Canis lupus familiaris: one gene and its partners. Each later gene encodes a partner of the first gene's protein in a complex. Links are inferred from orthologs where the notes say so. Each region holds a gene or a part of one and is shown in the gene's direction. Other genes may lie near its edges.

What was found.
Region 2: DR1 (region 1) and KAT14 share a complex: the UniProt entries of both Homo sapiens proteins name them as parts of the ADA2A-containing complex. The link is inferred for Canis lupus familiaris from reciprocal best matches to the Homo sapiens genes DR1 and KAT14.
Region 3: DR1 (region 1) and MBIP share a complex: the UniProt entries of both Homo sapiens proteins name them as parts of the ADA2A-containing complex. The link is inferred for Canis lupus familiaris from reciprocal best matches to the Homo sapiens genes DR1 and MBIP.
Region 4: DR1 (region 1) and TADA2A share a complex: the UniProt entries of both Homo sapiens proteins name them as parts of the ADA2A-containing complex. The link is inferred for Canis lupus familiaris from reciprocal best matches to the Homo sapiens genes DR1 and TADA2A.
Region 5: DR1 (region 1) and YEATS2 share a complex: the UniProt entries of both Homo sapiens proteins name them as parts of the ADA2A-containing complex. The link is inferred for Canis lupus familiaris from reciprocal best matches to the Homo sapiens genes DR1 and YEATS2.

What each region holds. Positions count from the first base shown.
Region 1 is NC_049227.1:56,183,607-56,189,485, reverse strand, and holds part of DR1 (protein Dr1), read left to right. Parts: intron 1-2,971; coding exon 2,972-3,118; 3' UTR 3,119-3,127; exon of another isoform or gene 3,128-5,349; intron 5,350-5,801; exon of another isoform or gene 5,802-5,879. UniProt on the Homo sapiens protein: The association of the DR1/DRAP1 heterodimer with TBP results in a functional repression of both activated and basal transcription of class II genes.
Region 2 is NC_049245.1:5,355,221-5,361,557, reverse strand, and holds the start of KAT14 (cysteine-rich protein 2-binding protein), read left to right. Parts: upstream 1-2,393; 5' UTR 2,394-2,414; coding exon 2,415-2,673; intron 2,674-4,619; coding exon 4,620-4,738; intron 4,739-6,337. Other genes in the region: protein PET117 homolog, mitochondrial, read left to right, coding at 1,961-2,110. UniProt on the Homo sapiens protein: Component of the ATAC complex, a complex with histone acetyltransferase activity on histones H3 and H4. May function as a scaffold for the ATAC complex to promote ATAC complex stability. Has also weak histone acetyltransferase activity toward histone H4.
Region 3 is NC_049229.1:15,068,606-15,075,280, reverse strand, and holds the start of MBIP (MAP3K12-binding inhibitory protein 1), read left to right. Parts: upstream 1-2,194; 5' UTR 2,195-2,257; coding exon 2,258-2,386; intron 2,387-6,022; coding exon 6,023-6,142; intron 6,143-6,675. UniProt on the Homo sapiens protein: Inhibits the MAP3K12 activity to induce the activation of the JNK/SAPK pathway. Component of the ATAC complex, a complex with histone acetyltransferase activity on histones H3 and H4.
Region 4 is NC_049230.1:37,201,331-37,207,209, forward strand, and holds part of TADA2A (transcriptional adapter 2-alpha), read left to right. Parts: intron 1-890; coding exon 891-1,023; intron 1,024-1,982; coding exon 1,983-2,026; intron 2,027-4,074; coding exon 4,075-4,148; intron 4,149-5,472; coding exon 5,473-5,658; 3' UTR 5,659-5,879. UniProt on the Homo sapiens protein: Component of the ATAC complex, a complex with histone acetyltransferase activity on histones H3 and H4. Required for the function of some acidic activation domains, which activate transcription from a distant site. Binds double-stranded DNA.
Region 5 is NC_049255.1:16,912,065-16,917,943, forward strand, and holds part of YEATS2 (YEATS domain-containing protein 2), read left to right. Parts: intron 1-10; coding exon 11-269; intron 270-2,797; coding exon 2,798-2,959; intron 2,960-4,368; coding exon 4,369-4,541; intron 4,542-5,310; coding exon 5,311-5,469; intron 5,470-5,879. UniProt on the Homo sapiens protein: Chromatin reader component of the ATAC complex, a complex with histone acetyltransferase activity on histones H3 and H4. YEATS2 specifically recognizes and binds histone H3 crotonylated at 'Lys-27' (H3K27cr).

The sequences.
Region 1 (5,879 bases):
TGATTCTGCGTACTTTAAGTCCCTTGGCTTCTCCTGGAAGTTGTCCGTCTAGCTGATCTTCTGGGGGAGGGGCCTGTTGTGCTGATTTTCAGGTGTTAGCAGTTGGGGGAGCTGCTGTGCCCCTGCCTGGTGCAGGGCTCGGTGGGGGTTGTTTACCCCGTGAGGCCGCAGGAGGAACAGCCCCAGTGGCGGGGCAGCTCTGGAAACCTGGATTCAGCTCCGGCAGGAACTCCGTCTGCAGGGCCTGGAGGCTCCGGGGCGGGGCCGCTGATCTGCTCAGCTGGGGCAGGAGCGTCCTTGCTGTCCTGGGCCCTCCCGGCCTCTGCCTGTCCCGGGGGAGGCGGGATCCTGGGCTGTGTCCCGGCGCCCTGTGCTTCGGAGCCTGCGCTGGTGGATTCGCGCTCCCGGGCCGCGCAGCCCCCTCCGCGGAGCCGCCGCCCGAGCCCCTCCGAGCTGCTCCTGGAACCGCGCAGGCCCCTCCGCACGGAGCCTCTTCCTCTGCCCGAGCCCCTCCGAGCTGCTCCCGGGGCCGCGCAGCCCCCTCCGCGGAGCCGCCGCCCGAGCCCCTCCGAGCTGCTCCGGGTCCCGCCGGGTCCCGCCGTGCGCGCTGCAGCCCTTAGGGAGCTCGGCGCACTCTCCTGGGCGCGCAGTTGCTGTTACTGTCCCCGGGAGCCCGAGGGCATCCCCGCCCTCCTGGGTCCTGCTCCAACTCCCCGCGAGCCCCTTTCCCCCGGGAAGGTCGGTGCAGCTCCTGCTCCTCCGGGACGGGGCTCTCCTGTCCTGGGGACACTCGCCCCGGCCTCAGCCCGGCTCCTCGCGGGGCCCCTCCCCCTTGGAGGCCTTTGTTCCTTTATTTCTTTTTCCCCGTCTTCCTACCTTGATAGAAGCGCGAATTCTTCTCACTGTAGCATTCCAGCTGGTCTCTCTTTAAATCTCAGGCCGAATTCATAGATTTTCAGGATAATTTGAAGGTTTTCTAGGTAGTTTGGTGGAGACAGGTGATTTGGAGACCCTACTCTTCCGCCATCTTGCTCCTCCCCCCAGTATTTCAGTTTAATTTGAAGGAAGAGTGGAATTTCGATAGGTGAAAAATAGGAAATTTCAAATAGAATGAATATCAGCATAAGGTAGTGAAAATGGGGAGGGTATGGTGTATATGGGCAACATTTTATGTTCTAGATTTTTTTGGAGTACCAGGTACATATTACAAAAATTGATTTGGGAGATAGATTTGGGCAGGCAGTAATTTGGAGGACCTTGAACTCTAAGCTGAGAAATTGGACTTAATTGGTAACAGATGATTTTTTTAAAGTATAATGATGGTCTGATTAGAATTCTCCTCTAGAAATGTTTGGATAATAAATTCAAGACAGATTATTAAGAAAAATCAGGAATATACAGGGCAAAATCTTAATGTTAGAATTATGCTGAGTACTACCATTTCCCACAAAACATTCATTCAGAAAATACCAGAGCCTATGTGTTGGGAATGCAACAAAGAGTATGAAAATAGTCTTTATTCTCAAGGCTAGTGGAGAAAAAAGATACATGCTCAGATAATTAAAGAATAAAGTAGGTAGATATGAGAATGCATAGAGAATTATGGCATATGAAATAGAGTGTACAATATGACCTAGAAGGATCAAGAAAGACTAATTTCTGTTTTAAATGGTAACTCGGAATTGGCGGGTACGAGCCAGGCTTAAGTAACAATTCTGAGAAAAGGCAGAGAAGGAGAAACAGCATTGTTTTGGTAGAATCCAATATGATCTATTCAGGAACAGATTCATTCGTTCCCTGTTGGTGTGATTTTTCTAAAGCTAATAGATAAAATTAAATTGGGAAAGAGCTTTTAGCTGTTGCAACAGTGTGTGTAATGCCTATATGTGTATCTTAGTTTCTAAAATTCCTTATTTTATTAAGAATAAAGCTTTAAAATATAAAGCCTTATTTATTTGTTTATTTAAAGTAGGCTCTATGCCCAGTGTGAGGCTTGAACTCTTGACCCTGAGATCAAGAATTGCATGCTCTACTGACTGACCCAGCTAGGTGCCCCAGTTTCTAAAATTCTCTGATGGTTGTGGAGAGGATATATCAGAGGAATGGATCTTAACTATCTCACTTAAATTCAGTTCTGGATAAGTGCCTTTTCTCTAGTATGTATATGGGAAGGGTATATATGTGTGTACACACGTGTATGTATTTATGGGGCAGGGGTTCAGAGGAGAAATGTGTATTTAGGGTAGGGAACTGTAAGAGAAACTCAAACTATCGGAGCACCTGGGTGGCTCAGTCAGTTAAGCATTCAGCTCTTGATTTTGGCTCAGGTCATGATTTCAGGATTGTGGGTTAGAGCCCTGCACTGGGCTCCGTGCTGGGGCAGAATTTGCTTGTCCCTCTCCCTCTGCTTTTCCCCCCTGCTTGAGTGTGTGTGTGCTTTCTCTCTTAAACAAACAAATAAATAAGTAAAATCTTAAAAAAAGAAACTCACACATCAAGGTAGCTATTGCATTCATATTTATTAGTACTTAAGAGTTAGAGGTACTGTACTAGACAACTTTTAAACCACAGAAATAATTTTTAGATTGAAAAATGTTTACGTGTTAATTTTAAGTTGAGAGGACAAAAGAATCAAAACAAAAGGAATGAGAAGCAGGAAAGGAACCAAAAATCTTTCTGCCAGCTCTTTCAACTTCAGTTGAACCAAAGGTCATAAAATTATGTGGCATAAAGGGTACTGCCTGTAAGAGAACCAAGTTTTGGAAACTGTCCTCAGCTGACAGAGAGGCAATGGTCTAACTATATTTTCTTAAAGAGTTCATATTCTCCAGATGTGTAACAGTTATATAGTGGTTGGAAAATATCCAAATTTGATAACTAAGTATGTAATTGGCTTAATCTATATTTAACCAAAGTGAGTATGTTGTGAATTTAAAAAAAAAAACTTTGTTTTTATGTTTTTGGTGTTTAGGCTAGACAGCAGCAAGCAGAATTGGCCCAGCAGGAATGGCTTCAAATGCAGCAAGCTGCTCAACAAGCACAGCTTGCTGCTGCCACAGCCAGTGCATCTAACCAGGCAGGATCTTCTCAAGATGAAGAAGATGATGATGATATCTGAAATTTACCAGCTGAGTTTCTATTTCCTCTATAAATGTTTTTCCCTGCACAAGAAAACAGTGAAAGAAATGCTTATCTGTAATTTTGTATGCATCTTGGTGGACTTGCCATTGGTATTCTAGGGATGTCTGCTGTTAAGTTTCATCTATTGTGTGCTATTCATGTAAAAACTGTCTCTTTGAACTATTGAAAATTTAAGGTTCAGTATAATATCAATTTTGAATTTTTAATGGTGTTTATGAAATTTTAGATAGCAGTGAGTCCTTTATTTGATCAATAAACAGTGTTACAGAAAACGTCAAGTTTATAAAATACAGTAAAATTTATACAGAAACTCTAAATCTGCATTTGCATTTCCTCTGCCCTTTTAACTAAACTAAAAATTGGGAATTTTAAATTATTGGGGGGAGGGTGTTGTGTGATGCAGTAGATGTTAGATCAGGTTGGTGAAAAAACAAAGAGTTCAGTTTTGTAGTATCTGAATTTTTTGTCTTTTAAAATGGGTATATATATATATATATATATAGGCAATAAATATATATGCTCAGATAAATATACTTGTTTAAAAAAATCTCAAAACATTCAAAAACTAGCAAGGAGTATGTTCAATAGTTGTATAAATTCAGTGGGTTATGTTTTTGATTTTGTTTTTGTTTTATGTAGAAGTGAAAACTACAGTTTTATTATGGCATAATTCATCTTGAGCTACACTATTACATTTCAAAGACTACCCAATTTTGAGGACTGTCATGATTCTTACTATTTCACTCCAATAATTGTTAATAGTATTACTTGCTCAGTCCATCCATGTTTATTGGACCTTGTGAAACAATTGCTTAGGTTCCATTGGTTTAAAGGAGATTCATGAATATTCAGACCTTTGCTGGGGGAAAGAAATGAAAGTTAATAAGCATGCTTACTGTAAAAGAGGGATTTTTTTGTAATTTAACTTGTAGTTATAGTTTACTTATTGTTTGTTTTTAGCATTACTTTTACATTTTCTTGACTAGATGGCCTAGAGTGTCCAGTGCTTCCTTTTGAAATGGCATCATTGTCTCCATCATAATTGAGTGATAGCTTTAAAAATGATTGGTTTTATTTTAAGAAAGTGTGTCGTAACTGATCAGCCGTATATGAAACGTAAATAGTTTCAATCTACTCATTAAAAGGGAGAAGCTTTACTTTGGTTCTAATAAATAAAGTATGGTAGTGATTTTTACAGGAATCCAATGTGTTGAAGAAATGACATATTGTTTGTATTTTGGAAACAGAATGGAAAAGCCACTAAAGATAGTATAAAGTAGTCTAAATTCCTATGTCAGTTGCCAAACCATTTAAATTTGTATATTCACCAAGCCCAAGAATAAATTGTGGCTGCCAGGATTCCAATTTTAATTGAAGAACTAAAAAAGTAAAGTTTATAAGTATTAGACTTCTTAATCTTATTTTGCAGTTTTAGAAAAAGTAAAATATTAGCATACGTTTATTAAATACACTTTCCCCATGCCATGAAAAAGGTTAATTTTGCTGGATATTTTAAGTTGAAGTTGATACTATATCCATGAAGTGCTTTGGACAAGGTAGAAGGGGTTGTTTTTTTAAAGTTTAAGTACCAAAGGTAGTCTAGTCTAAGAAATAATAAGTGTTGGCTTTTCTAATTTGTACTGTAACATCCTTATACTTTCTATTTTATCTGTTTCTTAAGTAAACAACTTAGATATTTTTCCACACTGTTTTTTTTTCCTGATGCAGAGTTCAGGTTAATTAATATTTTACTGCATCTGATAATGTATTATATGTTTGAAGCCTAGTGACTTTTCATTTTGACATTCTTGTGATTTCATATGCTGTATTCTTCAAGCAATAAAATTCTGATGTGTTTTATAAATTGTATTTACATTTAATAATCTACACAGATTAGCAGCAGGAGATTTCTATTAAGATTTTTACTAGTTTCAAGAATCTTTGGCCCAAAACACATTTTGATCATCTGGTATGTAGTACCTGACTTTCTCCTTTGTTTATTGTTATTTCAAAAAATGTGGTTTTACTTGTACTTTTGTAATTTACAGTCTTAGGACATAGGCATAACAAAGCTAATTAAGCAGGGTTTTACTTTTAGCTTATTTTTTAGCTTTTAAAAGTCACTATACTGTCTGTTGAGATTTTTTAAATCTTGTGGGGAGAGAAACAAATCTTTAGGATTCTTAAATAAAGTTATTGTTTAGTAAATATTTTCCCCATTTCCTTGGATATATATCTATGTTTTTCAGTAGACTATCACATTGATAAATGTTGAAACGTTACCAACATTTAAAACATATACCATACATATAGAAAAATATATAAGTGAGGGTTTTGACGAATTAAACATACTCCTATCACTGGCCCTTAAACCAAGACACAGCAGTATGAACTAACACTATCTTCTTCCTCCCCCCAAGTAATAACTATTCTGTTTTCTGAAACCATAGATTAGTTTTGCCTTTTATTTTATGTAAATGCAATCATAGATAATGTACTCTTTTTTAACTTTTACAACTTCACTTTAATAAGTCTTATGCTGGCTTACTAAAGAATAGTATTATACCCTTTACACCCTAATAAAGATTGGAAATTTACATTCCAGTTGACTAGCTTAAAGAGTTTAAGACTACTTTCACATTTATAGAGCCTAATTAAGGCTAGACAAGCACATTCCCATCTTCCATGTCATCTTTAACCCTTGTGTCATAAGAAAGGAGGCTTAGCTGTTTCTGTAA
Region 2 (6,337 bases), on another chromosome or scaffold:
ACAGCATGAAAGAGGTTAGAGATTTGGGAATAAAGTATGACTTCTAGGGGGGTAGCTTTTGGAGTAGAGGCAGGAGAGTCCTCTTCTAAGAAGTGAAAGGAAATGAGGGTTATCAAAAGAAATTTGAGATGGAGCAGAGAATGGTGTGTCCAATGTAGCGCTGAGGTCAGAGAAGGCAGGAATTTTCAAAGAGTGTGGGTAGCGTGGGTGAGAACTTGGTTCTGAACTAGCTGTGCATCTCATGTTCCTGGGAAGTTTTTACAACATAACCTTCTCCAGATCTTTTAAATCAGAATCTCTTGGAGATGGAATGGGGGGGAGGCTTAGGTATGTTTTAAAAGCTACCTAGAGAATTCTGACATGCAGCCAGAGTTGAGTATCACTATGCTAGAGAGTGGAAGAACAGAAAGATTAAGATATTTGGAAGTCAGATGAAGAAACGATTGACCAGAACAACCTGTGTTTATTTTACGTCTGGTCATTCATTCACTGTGGACTTTCTCTCTAGCCTGCCTGGGAAGGAGTAAAACAGATGATTGACATGGTGGGTGTGTTGGAAGGTTCAAGGAAACAAGAAATAAAATAATGACCATAGTTTTCTCTCATTTTTTTTGACTGCCTACTACGTACCAGGCACCGACATTGATCCTTACGGGAACCCTGTGAAACGAGTAGTACATGAGTAATGGTGAAGAGGTCTTCTTGGTGGTTAGTAAGGCCGTTAAGGGGAAGTCACAGGCAATCAGCGTATATTAAAACTTGGAGGAAGATAGCAAATGGTGGCAGGAAAGCAGGTTCCTAAGCTATATGCTGGAGTCTGAGAAAGGAAGGGTAGGATCTCAGAGGCAGGTATGGAAAGAATGATTCCAGCGGATGGCCTGCGCTTTGGGGGGCAGGGTGGGGTGTGTGGGTGGGTGTGTCATGGTATAAGGAACACAGGACCCAAGAACTGGAGAGGGAGGAGGCAAATGTCTTTGCACATCTAGCCAAGGAGCGGTGTTCCAGAAAGTTGATTTTTGGTTGTGTTGTCTGTTCCAGCACGCTTAAATTCCCCAACTCCTCCGTAATAATGAATGAACCTCTAGGTCTGAAGGAGGTCTGGCAAGTAGGTATTCTGTGAGTTTTTTAAATAGACCTAATAATTTAAAACAAAAAAACGAAAACCCAGGCCCTGGACCCCACTCTCATTAATTCTACCTCACAAGGCCACTGTTAAAGACATCAGTTTGTGACCTAAAAGACTATAAAATGGTAGTTATTAGTAATGACTGGATTTTTGCTTTGAAAAGTCTCACCTTAGGCGCTAGGTCCATGTTCTGGAATTTTTTTGCCAGTCTTTAGTGCTTATCAAAGTATCACTGATGGGTCTTTATTTTTTCCTCTGCCAGTAGCATTGTATTTTTTTCCATCTCTCTCGGTTATATAATTGGATAGTAATTCTGTATAATTTTTTACTACTTCTCTTTACACACTAGAAGAAGCCAAGATCTTTCCTTTCTTGTATCCTATTTAAGTTTCTGTAATCTTTTCTTTTTCTTTCTTTGATGTTTTATTATTCAGCTACAATAATTGATGACAGGAAAGTAGTTCATACAGTTACTATAGTAAATCTCACCAAGTCTTTTAAAACCTAGAATACCAATTAAACTTTTAAAGTTCAACACAGGAGCAGTTTTTTTCTTTTTAAATTAATGTTATTTCCCATTAAATTCTATACTGAATGTCCAGTTCAGGAATTTCTTAAAATGTAAGAAATCATTTCTACTGGTGGAACACACTACCAAATTAATCTGATGGTTTATTACATTTTATATTTATACAGAAAGTTGAAATAGTAATTGGGCATTTGGAGTCTGAAAGTTTTAGTGGTTTTTGGTAGCACTGTTATTCCGATTGAATGGCACAAGGATGGGAACCACCTGTTTAGGGTGTTACTAAAATCTGTTTCTTACGTTTTTAGAGGCTTCACGATGGAGTGATCAGAGACATTGAGAGACAAAATCGGAAAAAAGAAAACATTCGTCTTTTGGGAGAACAGATTATTTTGACTGAGCAACTTGAAGCAGAAAGAGAGAAGATGTTATTGGCAAAAGGATCTCAAAAAACATGACTTGAAATGAATGTCACATATTAATGGGACAGTGTTGAGTGTGGTTGTGCCACTGTGGATGGAGAATAGCTTAGTGAGGTCTTCCAAGTTTGCTTTGGTCACAGTCCTTTCAAGCTTGGCCAAAGAAAAGGACAGTGGATCATATATTCTAAATTATTGCTTTAAAAGTCAGTAAATCAGGCAGACACTCTTCTGAAGAATTTCTGTCAGTTTGTGTGATCCTGATAGAAGCCTCTTTGTAAGCTTGGTGTCTAGAGTTTAGGATTATTAGTGAAAAGCACCTTGGAACCTGTGAGAGGAAGGGATGGATAGTAACATCCACCTGAGTAGTTTGATAAGCCGGCATGATGATGAAGCCACCAGAACATCTACCTCAGAAGGGCTGGAGGAGGGGGAGGTGGAGGGGGAGACTCTCCTGATCGTGGAATCGGAGGACCAGGCTTCAGTGGACTTGTCTCATGATCAGAGTGGGGATTCCCTCAACAGTGATGAAGGAGATGTGTCGTGGATGGAGGAGCAGCTGTCCTACTTCTGTGACAAGTGCCAAAAATGGATACCGGCCAGTAAGGAGCTTCTTAATTCCTTTGATTTGTCAATTACTATGTGAAGGTTTGTTTTTTTAACCTGTGAACAAAACATGAATGTAAAATGGACCTAAATAAAAAGATAATTATTATATTTATCATCAGTTTAGTTGGCTAATGACAGATTTATATAAAACGTAGATAACATTTGTATTAATAAAAATTACTATCAACCTCATGTTAAATTAACATTTTTGATGGCAATCCAATAAAAATCAGAAAATTGGAAATTCTGCGTTATTTAAAGAATTAGCCACATTGTTCTAACAAGATCATGTTATGGATTTGGGACCAAATAATAGGCCCAGTATAGAATTAAAGTTCAAGTTACTCTGGTAATATTTAACTCCCATGGAAAACTATTGTTAAATGCTGAAATCAGAGTTAGCTGATTAAAAGTATTTTGTGCTCTTTTTCTGGGACCATTCTTGTTTTCCACTTGCCGGCCTCCTCGATCTGCTGGCAAGAGATACATGCACACACATTCCCCTGATACCACACTCTTTCAGCTTAATCTTTGCATCTGTCAGCTTCTTGGCTCTCAAGGAGCATGCTTTGCCAGCCATCACGAGTCTTACCAAAACAGGATTTTCCCATTAGGCAGAGACTAGTAAAGACATATGTACCAGAAGAATTCTTTGTGTAATAGAGTTTGTAACTGGTCAGAGAAATTTCTGTGTATGTATGTATATGTATGTACATATACATACACATATACATACACACATGTATACACATGTTGATGTGAAGGGGGTAATTTTCTGGTACGTGGAAATGTGTCTAACATGAATTTAACTATTCAGATTAAGTTACTAATAATAAATTAACATTGTCATAGGAAACCTTCTAGAACTTGCTATGCATTAGCTAGTGTTTGTTTCTGAGCAGTTTCTGATTATTGATTCATGCACCTGCCTGAAGATCTCAGTGACATTCCCCTTGTCCTCTAAGGATGTATTTTAAACTGTCCTTCACAGTTGTCTCCCTGCTAACTTCTTCAGCTTCTCTGTGTGGTGTCCTTTCCCCACACAACCAGACCTTTGTATTAGAGTAAGCTTTTAATTCTCCACAAACAACTCTTTTCTTATCCTAAGATCTTAGCATCTCTTAATTTCTTCTCTGGAATATGTGTCTCTCCAGCCCCTGTGGCCTCCCTGCCATACACACAGGCACCCCTCTTCACCTGGCCAATTCTAGTCATCCTTCAGGTTTCCTGTAGACCCCACTTTTTCTAGCTCTACCATCTTCCCAGCATGGTTTGGGTCTCCCTTCTGTGTGCCCTCTCGTTTCCCTAAGCCCACACCACATTCTGTTCCAGAGGTTACCCTGTCTCCCAGAGCATCAGCATCACCTGGGGAACAAAAAATTCAGAGACTCAGACTCCTCTTTCAGAGATTGATTCATTCTGTGTGGGATAGGCCCAGGCACTTAAAAACAAAACAAAACAAAAAAACACTCCCTGGGTGATTCTGATGCACAGTGAGGATGGAGAACCATTGTGCTATTCTGAGGACCTATTTTCTCATCTGTGGCCCTTAGAATTTATAAAATGCCAAGAGCAGGCTTTCGTATTCCAGTTCCTGCACCAGTGCCTGCCATGCAGTGGGAACTCAGATACTGCTTGAAAGAATGTATAAAGACATCCATGGGAGTCAGGAATGTTAACAGTTGGAAAATCCAATGACAGCAATAAAAACTTGCTTTTCCAGTATCTTTCTCCTTAAAATTAGGGAACCACGATCTCAACAGGCATACACTATGTTAGAAAAATAAAAATCTTTTCTTCTGCCTTCCCTGTTCTTATCCTGCTATCATGGGTTGGCTGAAAAAGAAGAAAAACGTGGAAAGTGTGGAAAATCTGGTTGATAAACTGATAAATACTGCTGTAGATAAACCTATGATGTGCCTTTTTGTTTTTCTCCTAGGTCAGCTGAGGGAACAGCTCAGTTACCTTAAGGGTGATAATTTTTTTAGGTTCACTTGTTCTGATTGCTCGGAAGATGGCAAGGAGCAGTATGAAAGGCTGAAGCTCACGTGGCAGCAAGTGAGTAGAAAGCTTTTCCCCTCAAATTTATGAATTCGATCCCCCAAAGAATTTAGTGGAATGAATATTCAGAGAATGAGGAGCTTACTTCTAGGCTCTTGAGCTGTTTTGGGGTCGTTGAGCTGTTTATTTCACAATGACAGTGTAATGAAGTTAGACACTTCAAATACATGGAGAAAGGACTTCTTTGTAAAAATACTCAATGCTAACTTAGTGAATTAGGTTTGAGATTCTTGAAAACCTCAGACACAGAATTTCATATTGGAATTGAAAAGGAGGTCCATATGTTTCTGGCAGCCATGTTTAGAACAATAAAACCGTTTAAAAAATATAAAATTGCCACATTAGAAATAGTTTTGGGAGGTATAATATGGCTCAATTGCAGAAACTGACATAAATCCAGATTTTCTGTATTTAAACTCAGACATGCGTGTTGTTTTTTTTTTTTTTTTTTTTTTAAGATTTTACTTATTCATGAGAGACAGAGAGAGAGGCAGAGACACAGGCAGAGGGAGAAGCAGGCTTCATGCAGGGAGCCCGACGTGGGACTGAATCTTGGGTCTCCAGGATCATGCTCTGGGCTGAAGGCAGCACTAAACCGCTGAGCCACCCAGGCTGCCCTTGAATATATATATATATATTTTTTTTAATTTATTTTTTATTGGTGTTCAATTTGCCTACATATGGAATAACACCCAGTGCTCATCCCATCAAGTGCCCCCCTCAGTGCCCGTCACCCAGTCATCCCCACCCCCTGCCCACCTCCCCTTTCGCCACCCCTAGTTCGTTTCCCAGAGTTAGGAGTCTCTCATGTTCTGTCTCCCTTTCTGATATCCTTGAATATTTTTTGTTTGAGGTATACCTTTGTCCACCTTTTAACCATCTCTAGTACCGGCACCCTAATCCAACCCAACTATAGCCTGAACGATAGCTTTTTTTGTGATCCCCAGATTGCCTTAATTTTTTTTTTTTTCTTAAATTACTATGTCTATAACAGGGTACCAATGTCAACAGTAAGTTCTAAAAATGAACGAATTATATGTTACTTTCTCAGTATTTATGTTTATTCACTTTAACAAATAGTGCCTACAACAAACCCAGTGCTGCTTAGGCCTGGAAACTGCTGTGCTGAGCGAAGCAGCTAGGTAGCTGGCCTTCTAAGCATTTATTTTAGACAATAAGCAGACAAACACGTTAATTACCCATAGCACTTTTTTTTGCCATGAAGGAAATAAACAGGGTAATGAGGAAGAGAGATTAGATGAAATGATCTTAGCCACTTAAGATATTCCTTATAAACTGCAGTTGCTGTAGCAGCTTTGACTGTTATCTCAATTATCAGTGCTTCACTGGGAGATGTGCTAATGAAATCTGTCAGGGGTGAATTTAGGGAGGATTTTTTGACTTAGTTGAAAATATGCAAGTGGAGTTTGTACTGAGGATATAGTCTCAAATTTTATAAATGTGATGTTTTTCCCATCATGTACATGGGATATTTCTAGGCAAGGTCAGATTGATATTAACAGATTATTCTGAGGCATATACCCATGGCCCATTTGCTTTTGATCTGCAAGTAGCTTCTCAAAAAGCTGTAAAATG
Region 3 (6,675 bases), on another chromosome or scaffold:
CCTCTCTCTTTCTCTCTGTCTCTCATGAATAAAAAATAAAATCTTAAAAAAAATAAAGTTAGCCCAAGGAAATCCACATCTTTTCAGCCTACAAACTCTTCTACTTAAAATAAATTGACAAAAATAAGAAATTTTCCAAAATGAAGGTAATAAACATCATAAAGGAGTAAGAAAGGTCCTTAGAAAGTAGAAATAATGCATAAAAGAGTTAAACCCCAAATGTTATCTCAGTAAGCAATTCCAAGATGTAAGTGTAGGTCTGGATATTGAAACACAGAATTACATAGAGAACTTATATAAAATCAAATGACCATCAATTCTATAATAGAGGTTCAAGGGAACAGGTAAAACTTGAAATTTCTAAATCAGTGATGGCACAGACAGGAACAAGAACTACTGTATTAAAAATGGTATTTTTAAAAAGATTTTATGCACTTATTTGACAGAGAGAGGGGAAGCGAGTGCACAAGTGAGTGCACAGCAGAAGCGGTGGGGTGGGGGGGGGGGCGGAAGCAGGCCCCCTGCTAAGCAGAGAGCCAAATGTGGGGCTCAATCCCTGGGATCATGACTTGAGCCAAAGGCAGATACTTAACTGACTGTGCCACTCAGGCACCCCAAACATCTATGGGGTATTCTTATAATATACAAAACATGTCCCCAACCGTTTCCTAACAGTGTCCTGAATATTGGTAAAAAAAAAAAAAAAAAAAAAAAAAAAAAAAAAAAAAAACCTTCACATCTAGATGAAAACAAATGATCTGAAACTGGTTGCTAATTCGTTACATAAAATTTTTTTTCTAGTTACCCTGTTATAATTATTCTCTTCTAAAAAGAGAACCAGAGGCAAAGAAAATATACAGCATTGCAAAGAATCATGAGTTTAAATTAGAGATGGAGATGAGTGCCTTGAATGAGAAGGCTGCTCAATTTGGGATTATATATTGTGAAATCTTTTTCTGGATGTTTCTAGACATAGGCTGGATTATAAATTGTATATCTTGCTGTGAACAAGGGAACAGACAAGATTTCTCAAGATCCTGTCAAGCCTGGTGATCTTTGGAAATGAAAGCCTAATTAAGAGGCTCCCTAGGGACAGGTCAAAGGCGTTCTTTTATCCCTACTGACCCCATTCCAGTTCTCTGATGCCTATTCTGCTCCTTTTCATTCAGCCTACTCTAAAACTGAAGAATACATATTGTGCAAGTTTCTACCTTTGCTTCCTCTACTGTAAATGCATTAGACTATTAGAATTAAGAATTTTAAATACCTTGTCCCTAATCTCTGAACTGACGGGTTTTGTTTTTTAATAGAGCTTAACATTTAAAATTCTTCTAACCTTTGTTCTTTTCTTCAATTGAACATAAAGCTTTTAAATGTTGGACTATAAAAGTACTTCAAATATCTTTTAATAAATCTATCTGATGAGTAATACGCTGTCAAATTTCAATTCGCATTTATTTTTTCTAATTTCAAAGATTGTGCTGCATGCAATTACTTATTTGAATTAAACTGTTAGAATCGTTTTGAGTGTCTCACTTCTTTGAAAGGTTTAGGTGAGTGTCTCTACAGTATCACTCAGAGAATAGCAACTGATGCACGTTTTAAAACTTGACATAATTATTTTGCAGATTTAAAGTAATTAATGTCCTTTCTTCCATTGATAGTACAGCAGGAACAGTAGAGCATTTTATTGTTCTTTTATAGCCTCTGCTCCCTCACATGAAAAATTAGTCACGTTAATTTGTGTAAGTTTTTAAACTTTGCAGAAGTGAAAATGTTCTAAATACAAGCGTACGTGAAAGAGTTTTCCAGGGTGTAGAGGTGTGGGCCCTGCTGCACCCCCGAACAGCAATCTTTGTCCAGACCACTCCACAGCGCCATGTTAAAAGCTAAAATTTTAACTTCTAAAATTCTGACGTTTAGGTCTAAGTCTCCTCTTCAACACTCATAAGCAACACCTAAAAACACAAGACAGGCTTCAGACGCTAACGTTCCCTAGACCACCGCCCCAATCACCGTCCCAAATTCCGTACGCAGCTCCGCCAGGTCGGCAATTACCCGCTCCGGCTCCTTGGCGTGACGCTCCAGCTGCACCTGATTGGCGCACCGGCTTGTCAGTCACGAGGGTCCTCGAAGGCCCGGGCCGGACGAGACGCTGTGTTTTTACGTCATTTACCGGCGACGCAAGCGGGCGGGCGAGGGGGGCGGGTGTTGTGAGCACAGCTCGGTGGTGGCGGGGGTAGCCTGCGAAGGTGTCATGGCTGCTGCCGTTGAGCTTAGCCTCTCGAGCAGTGGTGACAGGAGTCCGGAACGGAGCTGCAGCCCCAATCTCTCCCAAGAGGTGCTCCGCGAAATCTTTCGCTCACTGCATAGCCTGGTGGGACAAGTGAGTGGTGGTCTGTGGGAGCAGAGCAGGGGGTTGGGAACTCTCCGGCCCCTCCCCCCTTTTTTCCTCTAGCGGAGGCGGGGGGCTGCTTAGGGCTGCCGGGGACCGGGACTGAGTACTGAGGCCGGCGGAGGAGCCTGAGCCTAGCTGCGGTCGGAGCGAGGAAGGCCGTACGGGCTGGCAATTCTCCCCAAGAGTGAGAGGATAGTGTAAGTGAAAAACCTGGCTCCCAGAAGAACATGCTTGGAGAGAGCGAAGGCGTAAAAAGCTTTGTGGGTTTGGAGGGTGCCTGGCGCTCAGCATCCCCTATCCTTCAGTGAATTTGTGATAGAAATTGATAGAAGTAACGGCCTGAGAGTTTTGGCAAAGCTCTCTCCGCTTTTTTTTTGGGGGGGGGGGGGGGTTGATTTGCTTTTAGGAGTCACTTGGTTTTCTTTCTTTTTTTTTTTTTCCTTCTGGTTGTTACATGTGCATCTCTTACCCTTTCATATGGGGAGGAAAAATGAAAGGAATTAATGTAAATACTTCTTGCATAAAATTCGATGAGTTATCCATGATTGATAGAGTTTGCATCAGAACTGTTTGTCATTTAATTATTAGCTAATTTAACTGACTGATGAATAGCTTCTGCAGAAATGTCATAATAAATTGGGTTTAAATAAAAGTACTCCTTACACTATTCAATCAAGTCAACTGTTTCATGAAATAAAATGCAAAGCATATTACAAATGATAAACAACTTGAAAATAAGTTTGTTTGCTTTTAAAAAGGAAATCTTTTGTATCTTAGACGGAATATTTTTTTACTCTAAAAGTTTGTTATGGGGTTGGTATTAGTGCATGTAGTAGGCACAGCAAACATTTATGTCGAGGATAATGTTTATGAAAACAACACCTGTCTAGTTTGTAAAAAGTTATTTTTAAAAGCCGTGAGTGGATGGAGAATTAATTTTTTAAAAGGTTATTTCAGTATTTTTAAAAATCCTAATATGTTTGTCCTTAGAAAAAGCATTACTCTAAGTTAAACATTTAATTTGGTCTAACGGAACAATTATTAACAGAATCTGCTAAAAGTTGTAACTGTTGAGCTCAGTTGTTTGCCGCCAACTTATTAAAATTTTTTAAAGACTTGGGGACATTAACATTTTAGTCTTATCACCCAAGACCTGTAATGGTTAAAAGTCTGAGAACGTTTTCTGTCTTGGATATTGGAATTTTAAGGTTTATTTATATTTTAATGTCACGATGAAAAAAGTTTATGCTTACCTGTAATTTACAGTTTTATTTTCAGTGGTGATAAATTTTTTAAAGTAACATTAAGAAATAATTTAAACATTTCTTTTGAAATATTTTTGCATACTGAATTTTTAAAACTCATTTACAGATTTTAAACATTCGCGTATTTTGTGATTAAAGTTTACTTATGTCACCTGTCAAAAATGTTGAGAGTACATATTTGGAAAGTTTACATGACACATTGAAGGGACCATCTATACAGGTGTCAAAAAATTAAATCATTGTCTCATCAATTAAATACTATTTTGATATTAGTCTTTATATTTTGAGATGTATTGTTTAAAGGGAAGAATGAAAGCCACAATATTATAAAATTGCCCCTGGAGGAAATCACTATGTACTTTTGCAACAAGTTTATAGGATATTTTTTTTAATGTAAGTTTCAAAAAAAAAAAAAGTAAGTTTCAATATGCCTAGTTTCATTCTGCATAGTATCATTATATTGTTGGCTCTCCTCAATAGGAAACATAAAATTGAATGTTAAAAAGTATCCCAGATTTCAAATTTACTTATTTTAACCTTATTGCTTGCCACAGCATGGCTCATTCTACCAAGTTGAAGCATTATTTATTGTTAGCTTGGAGTTTCATACTAATTTTTTATGGAAAATGCTTACTTAAATAGTCCATATTAATGTCACACCAATACATTTTTGAGTGAATGCTTTACGTTTACAAGTTATAAAGGGTAAAAATGCATCGAATTCGTATTACTAATAGGGAATTTGTTGAATAAATAGTTGGATATATTATGATAATTTTAAAGTTAATTTGTATCATTATGTAGTTTTCTTTAAAAAAACCAAGTGTCTTTAATTGTGCTTGAAAGGCTTACATAATTATGCTGAATTGAAAGGAGAATATGATCCCAACATTAAGATTTATTTTATTTGTTTATTTTCTTTAGGAAATTTGATGCTTTACTTTAGTTGAGGATTTGTCTGTGTTATCCCAAAACTCTATTTATAAATTTGTTAGGAACTGTAGATCTCTTAGAGGACTGTAGAAGTACAGTAATTAAATAATATAAACTAAGATTAATGCAGTAATCTTAATGTAAAACTTTAGTTAATATAATCTAATCTCTGCCAGTGTAGCCTATCCAAAATTTCTTATTTCTTTATAGTTGTCTGATACAGACTTTAAATGTTTCTTGTCTCATGGAAAAGGTGGTAAATTTTTGTCATACAGTATTCATTAAGTATACTGCCTTTTTTGGGTAACTTTGGATTTCTGGTTCTTTGTACAGTGATTCATCTTTTTGTTTTATTAGAATCACAACTCATAACATCAGTATTTGAACTAATGTAATACTTGCCTTTATTTTGTGGAAAACATGACTTAATAAATGATTTCTGAAAAAAAAATAAACTTAATTCTACCATGCATCATAGCTTTATAGTATGCTATAAACACATGTCTCTAGAAAAGTTTATGAGGTTCATTTGTATTCACTTGAAAGCCTAGAGATTGAGGCTTTCACTCTAAAATTTTCATTGATTTTGATGATAATTTTATATTCAGGTTCTTGATAGTTTTCTGTTTATAATTTTATTCTAATAGGTCATACATAGCCAACTTATAAGTTTTATATGACAAGCCCCCTCACACAGTATTAGAAAATACTAGTTAGCAAAAGATCTAGCCATTCCATTCAGTCTCTGACCATTTATTTCACTATTGTGGAGGAGTATTTCTTTTTTACATTCAGATTTCCACAGCTAGATAATAGTTTTTTATTTGAAGTAGATAAACATGTTGCCATTTATCCCTAGGCTTTATAATCTGTATGAATAATCTTGATTTTTAGATTATTTTAAAATTGGTTAAAGATGAAAATGATAAAAATATGATTCAGAAAACATCAGGGTAATGATATATGTCAGTTATGTCTGTGTACATATTTAACAAAAAGAAATATTTGTATGAGAACTTTCATAAATGTGTCTGCCCCTTCTGTTTAATGCTCTGAGCTGGAAGTACTGAATAGGGCAAGCCTATTTTGGCCCTCATCCAAAGGTTTTAGATAATGAAGTATCAAAAAAGCCTCATGTTTCCATCTTTTGTGGATGGTGTTTCACCTGTAAGATGGTCCCATTACACAGACCCAAGAATAGAATTAGAATGAGATACCATTGTGTTTTTTCTATGAAAATTGCACCTTTCATGGCCTTTTAAAATGGTAACGAGGTGCATAACAAGCATTTTAATGTATTGTTAAAAATCTGATAACTTTGAGCTAGATAGTCATGTTACCCTAAAGAAATACTATTTTTGTGACATCCTATATATACAGCTTAATCGTGTAATTTTTGTGATGTTGCTGGTTTGCCCCTTTGAAGCTTAACCTCAGAGATGATGTGGTGAAAATTACAATCGATTGGAACAAGCTCCAGAGCCTCTCAGCATTCCAGCCCGCATTGCTCTTTAGTGCACTTGAGCAACATGTTTTATATTTACAGGTAAATTTCTTGTTAAAAATGTTAAGTCAGTATTAAGAATGGAAATTAATTGTAGTTAAATTATAAGCTAGAGTATTTGTCAGTTCTGTCCTAACATTGTATTAATAGTGTTATCAATAAAAGGTTACTTCAGCCAGATTAGATCCAAATCTGTTAATTTACATAGTGATCTGAACAGTCAGGAATATAGCCCAATAGGCCAGTGTGGCTATGAAGATTGAATGAATGCAATTCTATTCAATTCTAGACTTTGACTGAAAATTCAATACAGTTGCATCTATGGTGGGTTATAATTAAGCAATAAGACACGGCAGGTGTGTGTCATGCTATGATAATGATTCCATGCCTTGGGTGAGTTTGGAGGCTCATGGAGTGCTTTCAGTGGTTCAAGAAGTGGCATTATCCCAGCATGACACATCCTGGAGTGTCTATTGCAATTAAACAGTTTCAGCATAGTTTTTAAAAAGAAAGTAATTTCTGTGACATTAATGTCTCATCTTAGTAAGTAGCCAGTCACTATTTTATCTTTTCTT
Region 4 (5,879 bases), on another chromosome or scaffold:
ATCAGGCTCCCGGTGCATGGAGCCTGCTTCTCCCTCTGCCTGTGTCTCTGCCTCTCTCTCTCTCTGTGACTATCATAAATAAATAAAAATTAAAAAAAAAAAAAAAAATTAAAAAAAAAAAAAAATCTTTTTGGGCGCCTGGGTGGTTCGGTGGTTCTGCCTTTGGCTCAGGTCGTGACCCTGGAATCCTGGGATCGAGTCCTACATCAGGCTCCCTGCAGGGAGCCTGCTCCTTCCTCTGCCTATGTCTCTGCCTCTCTGTCTCTCATGAATAAATAAATAAAATCTTTTAAAAAACCAGAAAATCACCTATACCCACATGAGTGACCTGGAGAGTTAGTGCAAGTATCTGTAGCCACATTGCACAGCTGTACCCAGTGGTTGAAAGAGAAGAAGAATTGTCAATTCCATTGTGTGTGGTTTTTTTTTTTTTTTTTTTTTAAGATTTTATTTATTTATTCATGAGAAACCCACAGAGAAAGAGAGATAGGCAGAGAGAGAAGCAGGCTTCATGTAAGGAGCCCGATGTGAGACTCAATCCCTGGGCGGAAGGCAGGTGCTCAACGGCTATGAGCCACCCAGGCATCCCAATTCCATTGTGTTTTATCTTTTTAAGGATTTATTTTAGAGAGAGTGAGAGCAATCGAGGGAGAGAGAGAGAATCTCAAGCAGACTCCCCATCGAGTGCAGAGTCCCACATGGGGCTCAATCCTGTGACCCTGTGATCTTAACTTGAGCCAAAACCAAGATTACCTGACTGTGCCACCCAGGTGCCAGGGAAGCAGTTTTACAAAGGAAACCCCAAAAAGGCGAATTGCTGGTCAGTTAGAAAGCCCTTCAGTTAGCTCTGCTGTGTTGTCATTGGCAGTCATGCTGTTATCTACACTCAGGTGCCAGAACCTATGACCACCTCAAGAAGACTCGAGAGGAGGAGCGCCTTAAACGCACCATGCTCTCTGAAGTTCTCCAGTACATCCAGGACAGCAGTGCTTGCCAGCAGTGGCTCCGCCGGCAAGCTGACCTGTGAGTAATTAGTACAGGGAGGATGAGCATCTTCTTAGATGCTTTGGCTTTTCCATGTAGTTTCAGACATTTCCATGGGTACCCTACCCACATGGCAGAGTAGTAATGATTGGATAACTAGAAAAACTCCAAATTCTAATTTTAGTAGTCTTATCTCAGAAACACTGTGGTACTGACAGTTTTGAGAAACATAGCTGGCCTTCTTTGCTAACTTTGATCCTCTTTTTAAAAATTAGTAAATTGAGGGATCCCTGGGTGGCGCAGCGGTTTGGCGCCTGCCTTTGGCCCAGGGCGCAATCCTGGAGACCCGGGATCGAATCCCATGTCGGGCTCCTGGTGCATGGAGCCTGCTTCTCCCTCTGCCTATGTCTCTGCCTCTCTCTCTCTCTCTCTCTCTGTGTGTGTGTGTGACTATCATAAATAAATAAAAATTTTAAAAAAAATTAGTAAATTGCAGGGTGCCTCAAGTTGACCATCTGCCTTTGGCTCAGATCATGATCTCTGGGTCCTGGGATTGAGCCCTGGGTTGGGCTCCCTGCTTAACAGGGAGTTTGCTTCTCCTCTCCCCCTGCTCTTCTTTGCTGCTTGTGCTCTCTCTCTCTTTCAAATAAATAAAGAAAATCTTTAAAAAAAAAATTAGTAAACTCCTCCCCCATGTTTCCTCTCTCCCCGCCATTATCTATTAGAACTATTTCAATTGGCAAATCATGTCCCTGTCCTTAGTCTCCATGGATGTTCCAGATTAAGAGCTCTTAACAAATCCAAGTGATTTCTTACACGCCATATTACAGATGACACTTCCTGGTTAGTATAGCGGGGTATCCTATAAAACAGTGCCATCTATCTCTGCATCCCTTTAAAGTAACCAACTGGATAAATGACACCCAGTCCCACATGGGCTTTTGGAAATGGCCTTCTTTGGTGTGACATAAGTTTTAAATTCCTCTTCTTTGTTTTAGTGATTCTGGCCTGAGCCCTTCTGTTCCGATGGCTTCGAATTCAGGTAATTATTTTTCAGGCTAGAGCAAGTCTTGATTATCACATTTTCAGTAGTTCCTTCCCCTTGTGGGAGCAGAGTGCTTAGGCAGAGCAGGTAAGTAAGTAAGTGTATCCCAGTATGTAAACCTCAGCAAGTTTTCAGAATCATCATGGCCAGATAGGGATTATCATCAGGGTTTGAGTTCAGAGACAGGGAAGAAAGAGCTCCAGAGAGGTGTTTTCTTTTTTACCAATGAGCAGTTTATTGTGGTTGTATTTACCACAGATTTTGAGATTTGTCTCACAGGATAAATTAAAGCCTTTGTATCCTAAGCAGAAAGACAAGGATTTCTTTATAAGTTAGAGACTTGAGGTATTTCTGTTATTATTACCTGTTTGGGTATGCCCTTATTTTGAAGTTAGTTTTCAGAGCCAGCTGAAGTCATATGTTATCTGGCAATCCTTGATGCTTGATAATCGATGAATGGTAATTTGAGGTGGTGTGAGTTATAGAGCTCTGATCCAAAATTGTTGTGTTTCTTTGCCAGTTATTATTCATCCCTGCTCCATATGCTAGATTAGCCACTTTCCCATATCAGAACATACAGACCACTCCCCTGTAGAGACTGGCCTAGTGAAAAAGGTGACCCACTTGCAGTTTTACCATTCTTTGGAAACTTGAAACAATAAACTTTGTGATCCCATTCAAAATCTCTCAGATTCAGCATCTAGACAGGGCTCAGAGAAGGCTACTTCTTTTTTTAAAAATGATTCCTTTGTTTCAGGTGGTTATTTCTTAATACTTAAAAGAGAAAAAGTCTTTTAGAGAGTGGTCAGGACAGCTAAATCCAAACTTTATTTTACGAGTTACTTACTTCTAACTCTGCACCCCGAGTCTAAATACAGAAATAGAATAACAAATATAGTAACAGTGATAACTAATAATGGTACTTGTGTTTTCTGAACCATCTCTACTCATTTATTCTTTGTGGCTTCCTCAGCAGGTGTTAGCCTTTCTCATCCCCTGTATTTAGGTTGAGGAGACCCCTTCCTTCTCCTCCTGTTCTCAGCTACTCCTCAGGCAGTGCAAAGTAGCAATCCTGGATCATTTGTTACAACCTAGCCTCTGGTAACTTTGGTGAGATACCAAATGATTTTAGTCTCCCTTTTTGAGCATTTAGAGGAAGGCCAGGCCTATTGGCTATGGAAAAGCCCTTATCCCTTTATTGATTCCACAGAGAAGCTGTTTTCTAGCAGAGCAGCCTGTAACAGTCCCTCCCTATTTCTCTCCACCCCCTGAAAGGCAACCCCCATGAAACTTGTTAAAAATGATTCTACATCTTCTTTTGCCTAACTCAGCCCACCTATCTCCCAACTAAACACTAACTCCAAATATACATTCAAAACCAAAGCAAAAAATTTTGTGCATCAAACTTCCCATCCTGGGCAGTGACCTCATGCTTAGGTTTCTTTCTCAGTATGTGAGTACACCTCAGCTTCTGGTTTGCCATATAATGGCTCATTGTTCCTCTGAGTGGATCTTTCAGGTAAACAGGCTACTTTGGAAGGAACAGATATTCCCTCACATAATAAATAAGAAGGGCCTTTTGCTGGCCTAACAGTCTGCCTTTGATCTGAAGGCAAATGGTATGTGGTTAATTACGGTGTTTGCCTCCTGCTCCTGGCAGAGTGGTGAGGGCTGGGAAGTGTCTCTCCTGTGGACTTGTTATTTCCATTCATCAGCTGTCAGGATTGGTAGCATATGACCTTTCTTCACTAGGTGACATCTGGGCTTTAGAATTTAGAATCTTACTGGGTCGGAAAGAGTAGCAACTGGGTTGCTAAGGTATATGTGATTGTGTATTTTAGCAGAGCAAAGGGCACATGAATTACCACTAGTAATTTCAGGTGAACATTGGGGTCCCCATGTTGCCAACTGGACTGAGGCCTGGGGTGATGGGTAGAGATTTCTTACAGCTGGGCGTGGTGACCATGTAACTAGCCTGGCTGCAGTAGACTGTTACTTCACAATTGTCACTCCTATGAAATACGTACCTTTTTCTGTGTCTGTAGGTAGACGAAGTGCACCACCCTTGAACCTCACTGGCCTTCCTGGCACAGAGAAGCTGAATGAAAAAGAAAAGGAGGTAAAAAAAAAAAGGGGGGGGGGGGCGGGGATCTAGAGGAGAGAGATTAGAATGATTAGTATATATAAATCTAAATAATGGCAGCTATCATTTATTGAGCATTACCATGTACCAGATACTTAGTACTAAGTGCTTCATGTGAATGAAATTGTAAATTTATAAACCTACAGTATCTCATATATGAAAATGGTCATTTCCTGTTAGAATGGTCACTTTGATAAGCTCTACATTATTCCAACAATATAACCATGACTTAAAAGATTTTTAGAATTGTCTCCATAGCATACATGTAAGTCATGAAGAAAGGACTTTATCATCACATATAGTCATATACTAATGTTGATTAAAAATGCCATGACCTACTTTTCTTTTCCACTAAAATCATCAGACTTATCTTCATACTACTTTTGGCTGCCTCAAAAGGGTCATCCTCAAGCATTAAAAAAAAAAAAAAATGTGCATAGCTCTGAAGTCCATTCCAAAAGAGCAACCCTCTTCTGTTCTTCATGTGCTCCTTTTACGATTCCCAAGATCAATCTTCCCATCTGCCACTCCATATCATTAGTAGGTCAGATAGTAAGGGGAGTCATGGAGTAGGGGCTGTTTTAGTCTTTTATTTACTATTCCCCCAGGAAACAGTTGGGGAACTACTATTGCTGATGAAGGTCACGGGCCTTTCTGAGTCAAGTATTAAGTGGCCCAGAGTTTCAAGCAGTATTTATCCTTACCCACAAACAGTGACCTCACGCTGCTTATTGCTGTGGGGTGCCATGGCAGGTGGACTGGGATTGAGCCAGCTTTGTAGATTTTTAGCAGCTGAAGTAGCCTCTTCATGAGGTCTCTGTATCTCCTTCTCCTTCAAAGTAGGAAATGTAATCACAAAAGCAGTGACAGCTACTTTATGCTGATACTAAAAAATGTGATTCACACTTGGGAATCTGAGTATCTGCACCCCCGCCCCTACTATGCCCTGTGGCTCTTCCGTGACTGGCTATGTTGGAATGTGCTGGGCTGAGAGCTCTGTGGACCCAGGCTGCTGCTCAGGACACATACTTGTGCTCCTTGACAAACCCAGGTGAGCCAGCTGACACGTGCTAAAGTCCCTCCCAGCATCAGACTCTGGTTTTCTCTTCCTAAGTGTCTGTTGTCAGGGAATATTCTCTCCAAGGAAGAGACTAAATGGAATGTGGTCCAGCCACCCAGCAGCTCCTATAAATAGTTGGAGGTTGATGTCACTTTTTAAATTTTATTTTGGCTATACCTACTGGATTAAATTATGAGAATGACAGATGTTAATGTTTATTAAATTTGCCGTGTCTTGCAGCTCTGTCAGATGGTGAGGTTGGTCCCAGGAGCCTATTTAGAATACAAATCTGCTCTGTTGAACGAATGTAACAAGCAAGGAGGCTTAAGACTGGCACAGGCGAGAGCACTCATCAAGATAGATGTGAACAAAACCCGGAAAATCTATGATTTCCTCATCCGAGAAGGATACATCACTAAAGCCTAAGGCTCTGAGGGCTTGGGATCAGAAATCACAAGTTTGGAATGTGCTGGGCCAAACAACAGCATGGGCATTCTGGAGAATTTCATTTCTGAGCTGAATTCTTGTTGTAAAAAGAGGAAGGACAAAGGGAACCCTAAGTTGTATTAACATCTACTTTCTTCTCCACCCCACTTTAAAACACTTCTGTTGTTGGTGTTGTGCAGCAGTTATGTGCTAGATAAGCT
Region 5 (5,879 bases), on another chromosome or scaffold:
TTTTCAACAGGTTGTTGGGGTGCCAGTTGGGTCTACTTTACCTTCAACAGTGAAACAGGCTGTGGCGATCAGTGGTGGCCAAATCCTTGTAGCCAAGGCCAGCTCTTCTGTTGCCAAAGCAGTTGGTCCAAAGCAAGTTGTGACCCAAGGAGTTGCCAAAGCAATTGTGAGTGGAGGTGGAGGAACCATTGTTGCTCAGCCAGTGCAAGCCTTAACCAAGGCTCAGGTCACTGCTGCTGGCCCTCAGAAGAGTGGATCCCAGGGTTCAGGTAACTGATACTGATTGGGTCCCTTTCAGCAGCAGGCCTTTATATATAAACTGTTCTTTGCTAGTAGTTTTATTTGGTATTTGGTTCTAAGAAAACCTATTAGGTTGATGCATAACGAGTATATAAAAACATGTTAATTTTTTTCAGGTAGCATTTTACATAGAAGTCTGTAAAGCGGTTTACTTTAAGGGAGCATGTGTGTGTTTTAGCAAGAGTAATAAAAATAGAGCGTATTTCTTGATAGTGGTTTCAGGTCTGAAAGATAATTTTCATTTGATCTTATCTCCACTTTGGATTGTATTCAGACTTAAAATCTTGGGATGGTCATTTGTCAGCAGCATTTTGAGATACTGAACTAATGCTTTCTCTACCAAACAAGTTTAAACACCTTGGATGTGTTTGAAGCCTTGATATGTTGTTTTTATGAGAGCATGAAAAAATATACCTAAGACATTAGATGCACTAAGTTTTGAAGGTCTCGATGAGGCTAAAGAATTATTGCAGTGAATTAGAAGGATGAGGGTAGCGGATGTCTGAATCATATTGTACACCTGCTACTCACACTGTGTTAATTATACTTGAGTTAAAAAATTAAAAAAGAAAACATAAAATCTAAATAATAAATTGAAAGAATAACCAGAATCAACTTTATATAAAACATTAAAAAGATTTAGAAGAAGGGATCCCTGGGTGGTGCAGCGGTTTGGCGCCTGCCTTTGGCCCAGGGCGCGGTCCTGGAGACCCGGGATCGAATCCCATGTCGGGCTCCCGGTGCATGGAGCCTGCTTCTCCCTCTGCCTGGGTCTCTGCCTGCCCCCCCCCCCCCCCCCGACTATCATAAATAAATAAAAAAATTAATAAAAAAAAAGATTTAGAAGAAAAAGGGAAAAGAAGGAAGTGGATGTCCAAAATAAAGATTTCAGAGGTGGTGAGTTGTTGGTGATGGCAGAGTCCATTTGTGCCATTAAAAATGAGTGTTTGCAATGTTGGAGGAAGTGATCTTTGGAGTTTAGAAAATGAGGTGCCTGAGAAGCTAGATAATTAAGTCACTGATAGTGCTATCACTGAGGATGACAATCATTGGCTTTAGAGCAAGACTGAGTCAGGAGTCAGTCTTCAGCAAGTGAGGGGAAGTGATTGGGAGTTCAGTAAATGAGCACAGAAAAGAGGGTTAAGGTGGTAGAGCCAAGCAGGAGCCAGTAGGTTTTTCTTCTGGAATGAGGGGTAATAACGGTCTGAAAGCCAAATGGTAGAGCACAAAGACTCCTCTCCTTGTCCTGGCCATCAGACACTAAGTAAGATTCAAAAAATAGCTTTTAGCTAAGGGTGCTACTGGGGAAGTCCTGTATCTTCAGAGGACTCAGTGTTTAATACCACAAAAAGAAAGACTTCAGAGAGGTCAGGGTTCTAGTGGGTGTCATTATCACAGCAGGAATTCCTGGGGGTAAGATGAGAGAGCCAGGGGAGGAGGATGGGCTGAGGAGATGGGTTCAGATGAGGAATGCAGGGCAGTGTGAGGCTGGACTCTGGGTGCGGGTGACTGAGCAGAGAGGCTTGCTGAGCTGCACAGTGATATAAGGTGGGGTGAGTTCTAGCAGCAGTGGAGAGGGCTGGTACTCCAGTCTTCATATCAGCCCCTGCTGTTGGGGGGTAGCTTCCTGGGGTCTTGCTTCCCTGGGCTTGCTCAGTGGAGTAGTAATGAAGAAGAAGACTAGCTCAGGCTAGAGGAGGCTCTGAGAGCCCTGTGCCTGTGGTGACTCACTCGGTTCTATGGGCTTCATTATAGGGAGATTTGAATTCAGGGTAATTGCAGAAATTTTGATGTGTAAGTCTTCACTGAAGAGTCACATTTAGAGGTTTATAGCCTTGTGCATTGAGAAGTAAATCCTAGGGGATAAGTGAAAGCTCTTTGACATAGGTGAGACTTTCAAAAGGTAAATTCTGGTTTCATACTATATGTGCTAGTTGTTGACTGGCTTTTTTGTTGTTGTCATTTCTTTTTTTTTTTTAGTTCTTAAAAAGTGAAAGAGGTTAGAAGTCTTGTTTCAAATCTGTAGTTTCATTCATTACTAGAAATTGATAAAAAGGGCTTTAAACGGGTTTTGGAAAGAAATATATATTCATCCAAAAATAAGGTTATTATTTCTTTGATTGTCTAAACCATAGGACTTTTGAGAGTAAAAAGAGTCACGGTTAATAATGATTGGGACATAAGTATAAAAATCAGACCCAGGTATAAACTGGAACTGTTCTGGGCAAATTGGGACATATGGTCATCCTATTTATGTACAAATATAAATTCCCCTTTGTAATTTATGGCAAGCTCTTCTAATATGTAAATTAGTTTTTGATTAGCAAGATATTAGCCTTTGAAGTATTACATATCTAGGAAAACAAACTGTAGAGTTTACTGTTTGTGTTTTTTAATAAGAATTTATTGCTCTGTTTTTAATTTTTAGTGATAGCATTGTCCTCAGTTCTACTTTTTCCCTTTACTTTTTTTTTCTTTTTTTCCTGTACCATTTTAGTAATGGCAACATTGCAGCTACCAGCCACTAATTTGGCCAACTTGGCAAATTTGCCGCCTGGCACTAAACTCTACCTTACAACGAACAGCAAGAACCCTTCAGGAAAAGGGAAACTGCTGCTGATTCCTCAAGGAGCCATCCTGCGAGCTACCAACAATGCTAGTCAGTCCGTCATTAAATCATTTGGTTCTTGGGTCTCTGGGTATGTTCATCTCATCCACCCGAGGGGCAGCTCTTACCTGTTTCAGGAAGTGTTTCTGTAGCTCTTTGTGGTGGTATGATGGTAGTATTTGCCCACCTGGATTTAAAACATACACATAACTATAAGTGGGTTTAAATAATCATAGTTCTAGGCGATGACACTGCTATTTTGGGTTTATCTACTCAGAGTTTGGGGTCAGGAACAAATCACACTGGAGAGAGATGACTATTAAGACAGTGTGGGGAGAAAACTGTTCGTGTGAACTATAAACAAAAAAAGTTCTTCTTTTCAGTGGTATCTAGAAACCGGTGATACCTGGGGAGATAGTAGCTGGAGGCCTATGTGCATTTTGGAGGGCATAGGAGTAGGAGTGGAATCAAATGTTCTCTGCCTGCTGTTATTTAAGTTTGTCAGTTTTGGAGATGGAACGAGAAATATAGAGTCAACCTTAGTGTTAAGCCTTAAAACCCCAAAGAAATTAGGTTAGACTTAATCTAGAAATTATCTAGACTTAGAAACTTTGGCTTTGACATAGAGAAAAGCAATTTGGATAGTGCTGGAAAGGAAAGGGTAAAAGGAATTATTTCCCTCTGAATCATAAGTATAATTGATAGAACAGTTAGGTTCACTAGAAATGAGCTGCCCTTGCCAAAATCTAGTGTATGAGCTAGTCACCATTTTGTTTCCTGACTGTTTGCTCATCCTGGCATTTTTTCCCTCATACCTAAGTATTGATATATAAAAGATATGTAAGAAAAGGACAATGTAAGGATTCCATTATTTACCCAGAGAGCCACCTCAGTCTTAGTTTATATACATTATGTCACCAAAAGAGAAGTAAAGGGGATCCAAAGGCTTTAAGATGGAATATAAAAAGGGGGGGGGGGAATGGGGCACTGAAGTCATTATAAATATGAGGAAAAATGTTTTTTTTCCAGGGCAGAGGGAGACAGAAAAGAGAGTTCTGTAAAACTACACTTAATTTTATCAGTTTCACTGAAATCGAATGAGATGCCAGAATGTTTAGAAGCCCTTCTCTGAGCATATTTTAGTCAACACTTGGTTAGAAAATGTCAGTATCAGACTGTTGATCTCCCACAACGAAGTCAGAACTCTTGTTAAAGTGAAGTTCTTCTTGTACTGAAAGCTGAACTCATCATTTGTCCTTCAGTTGAAAGTAAAAATCAGTTTCAGTCCTTAATTCTAGAACAGTCTCCTCACTGTTGTCACAGAATAGGTATGTTACCAAAAAAGGGGACTAGGAAAGGGAAGGGATGGAAACGTCATCTGTCACTCTGGGTGCATTTTTTTTCCTGGTAAGTCTCTTACTATTTTTTATGATGTTGCTGTCATCTCGTTGTGTTTCCAGATCTCCAGTCTGGCTCAGCTTCAGGTAGTGGTGGTGGCGTCAGCGGAGGCAGCAGCGGCAGTGGAGGTAGCAGTGCGGGTGGCAGTGGTGGAGGAGCCCAGAGCCCCGCGGGCCCTGGAGGGATATCCCAGCACCTGACTTACACATCTTACATCCTGAAGCAGACTCCTCAGGTCTGATCATTCGTGACTGGTATCTTTCAAATCCTTTAGTTATTAACAACTTCCTTTAATTATACTGGATTTGTTTTTACATCTCTGGGATTGGGAGTCAATACTAACACTATAGCCACATGGAATCTTTATTATTTTGAGCTTGTTTTGAGAGGAGATAGAAGTTCAGAAAGACTTAAGTACGAGATCTCTCTGCTAAGCCAATGCTAGAATTTGGATTTAAACTCATAGCTTTCTGACTCAATTTTTGCTACACTGTTGCCTCCCAAATCCATGAGTTAATGAATAGTATTAAGAGACAGTTGAAAATTTTCTCTTGCAAGGGAGTAACCAGAGGAATACTATCAAGTTTTGGTATTTGGAGTTGAATTGGATTCATGATTAAGAATAAGTTTCTGCCTTCTTTCCCCTAGTTGCTTTTAAATCTTGACTCCTCTCTTAAGGAAGGTCGTGGAATTCTGGTCTAGATGTTCTTAATGAGAAGGATGGGTAGTTACCAGTCTGAATAATTCAGATTTAAAGACTAGGTTGTAGAACTTGACTGTCCAGCAGCCTGCTCCATAACTACTGTGCAGAGTTTCAGAAGTGGGGCTAGCTAGCTGTTGGTAGTGGAACTGAGGGCAGAGCTGTTCTTTTTAGTTATTTTGGCTGAGTTGCAGAATTGAAGGTGAGCATCGTAGCTTGTAACATGGGACCTTGTGATTTATAGGGTCAGGGCAAGTCATTTTCACTTAACAAATTACTGAGTAGATCTTTGTTTCTAACTTAGGGTACATTTTTAGTTGGTCAGCCATCACCGCAGACATCTGGAAAACAGCTGACTACTGGATCAGTGGTCCAGGGAACCCTGGGAGTCAGCACATCTTCTGCACAAGGACAACAGACGTTAAAAGTCATCTCTGGACAGAAAACCACTTTGTTTACCCAGGTAAATAGGCAAACACACACACATACCCCAAATATAGGATATTATGGCATTTATTTAAACATTTACAGCTTCTTTCTTTCCACAAAGAAATTAAAGATGCGAGATTAAAGATGAGAAAATAAACAATTAAATAGTATAAAAAAATAAGAATAAAATCTTGAGATTTGAGAAAACTATGAGTTAGAAATGAGAAGATAAAGCCAGAGTTATTAGATACGCAGTTATGTCTTTTATAATTACTAATACTTGCCAAAGCAAATCAAAAGCATGATCAGTTACAAAATTCACACTATTTGTGAGATGCAAAAGAAATACACACATAATACTTTCTTAAAAAAACAAAATTTTCTTGCTACTTCATTCTAAAACTTCACTGGAGAAACTTCATATAAGAGATTCTGAATAGTATA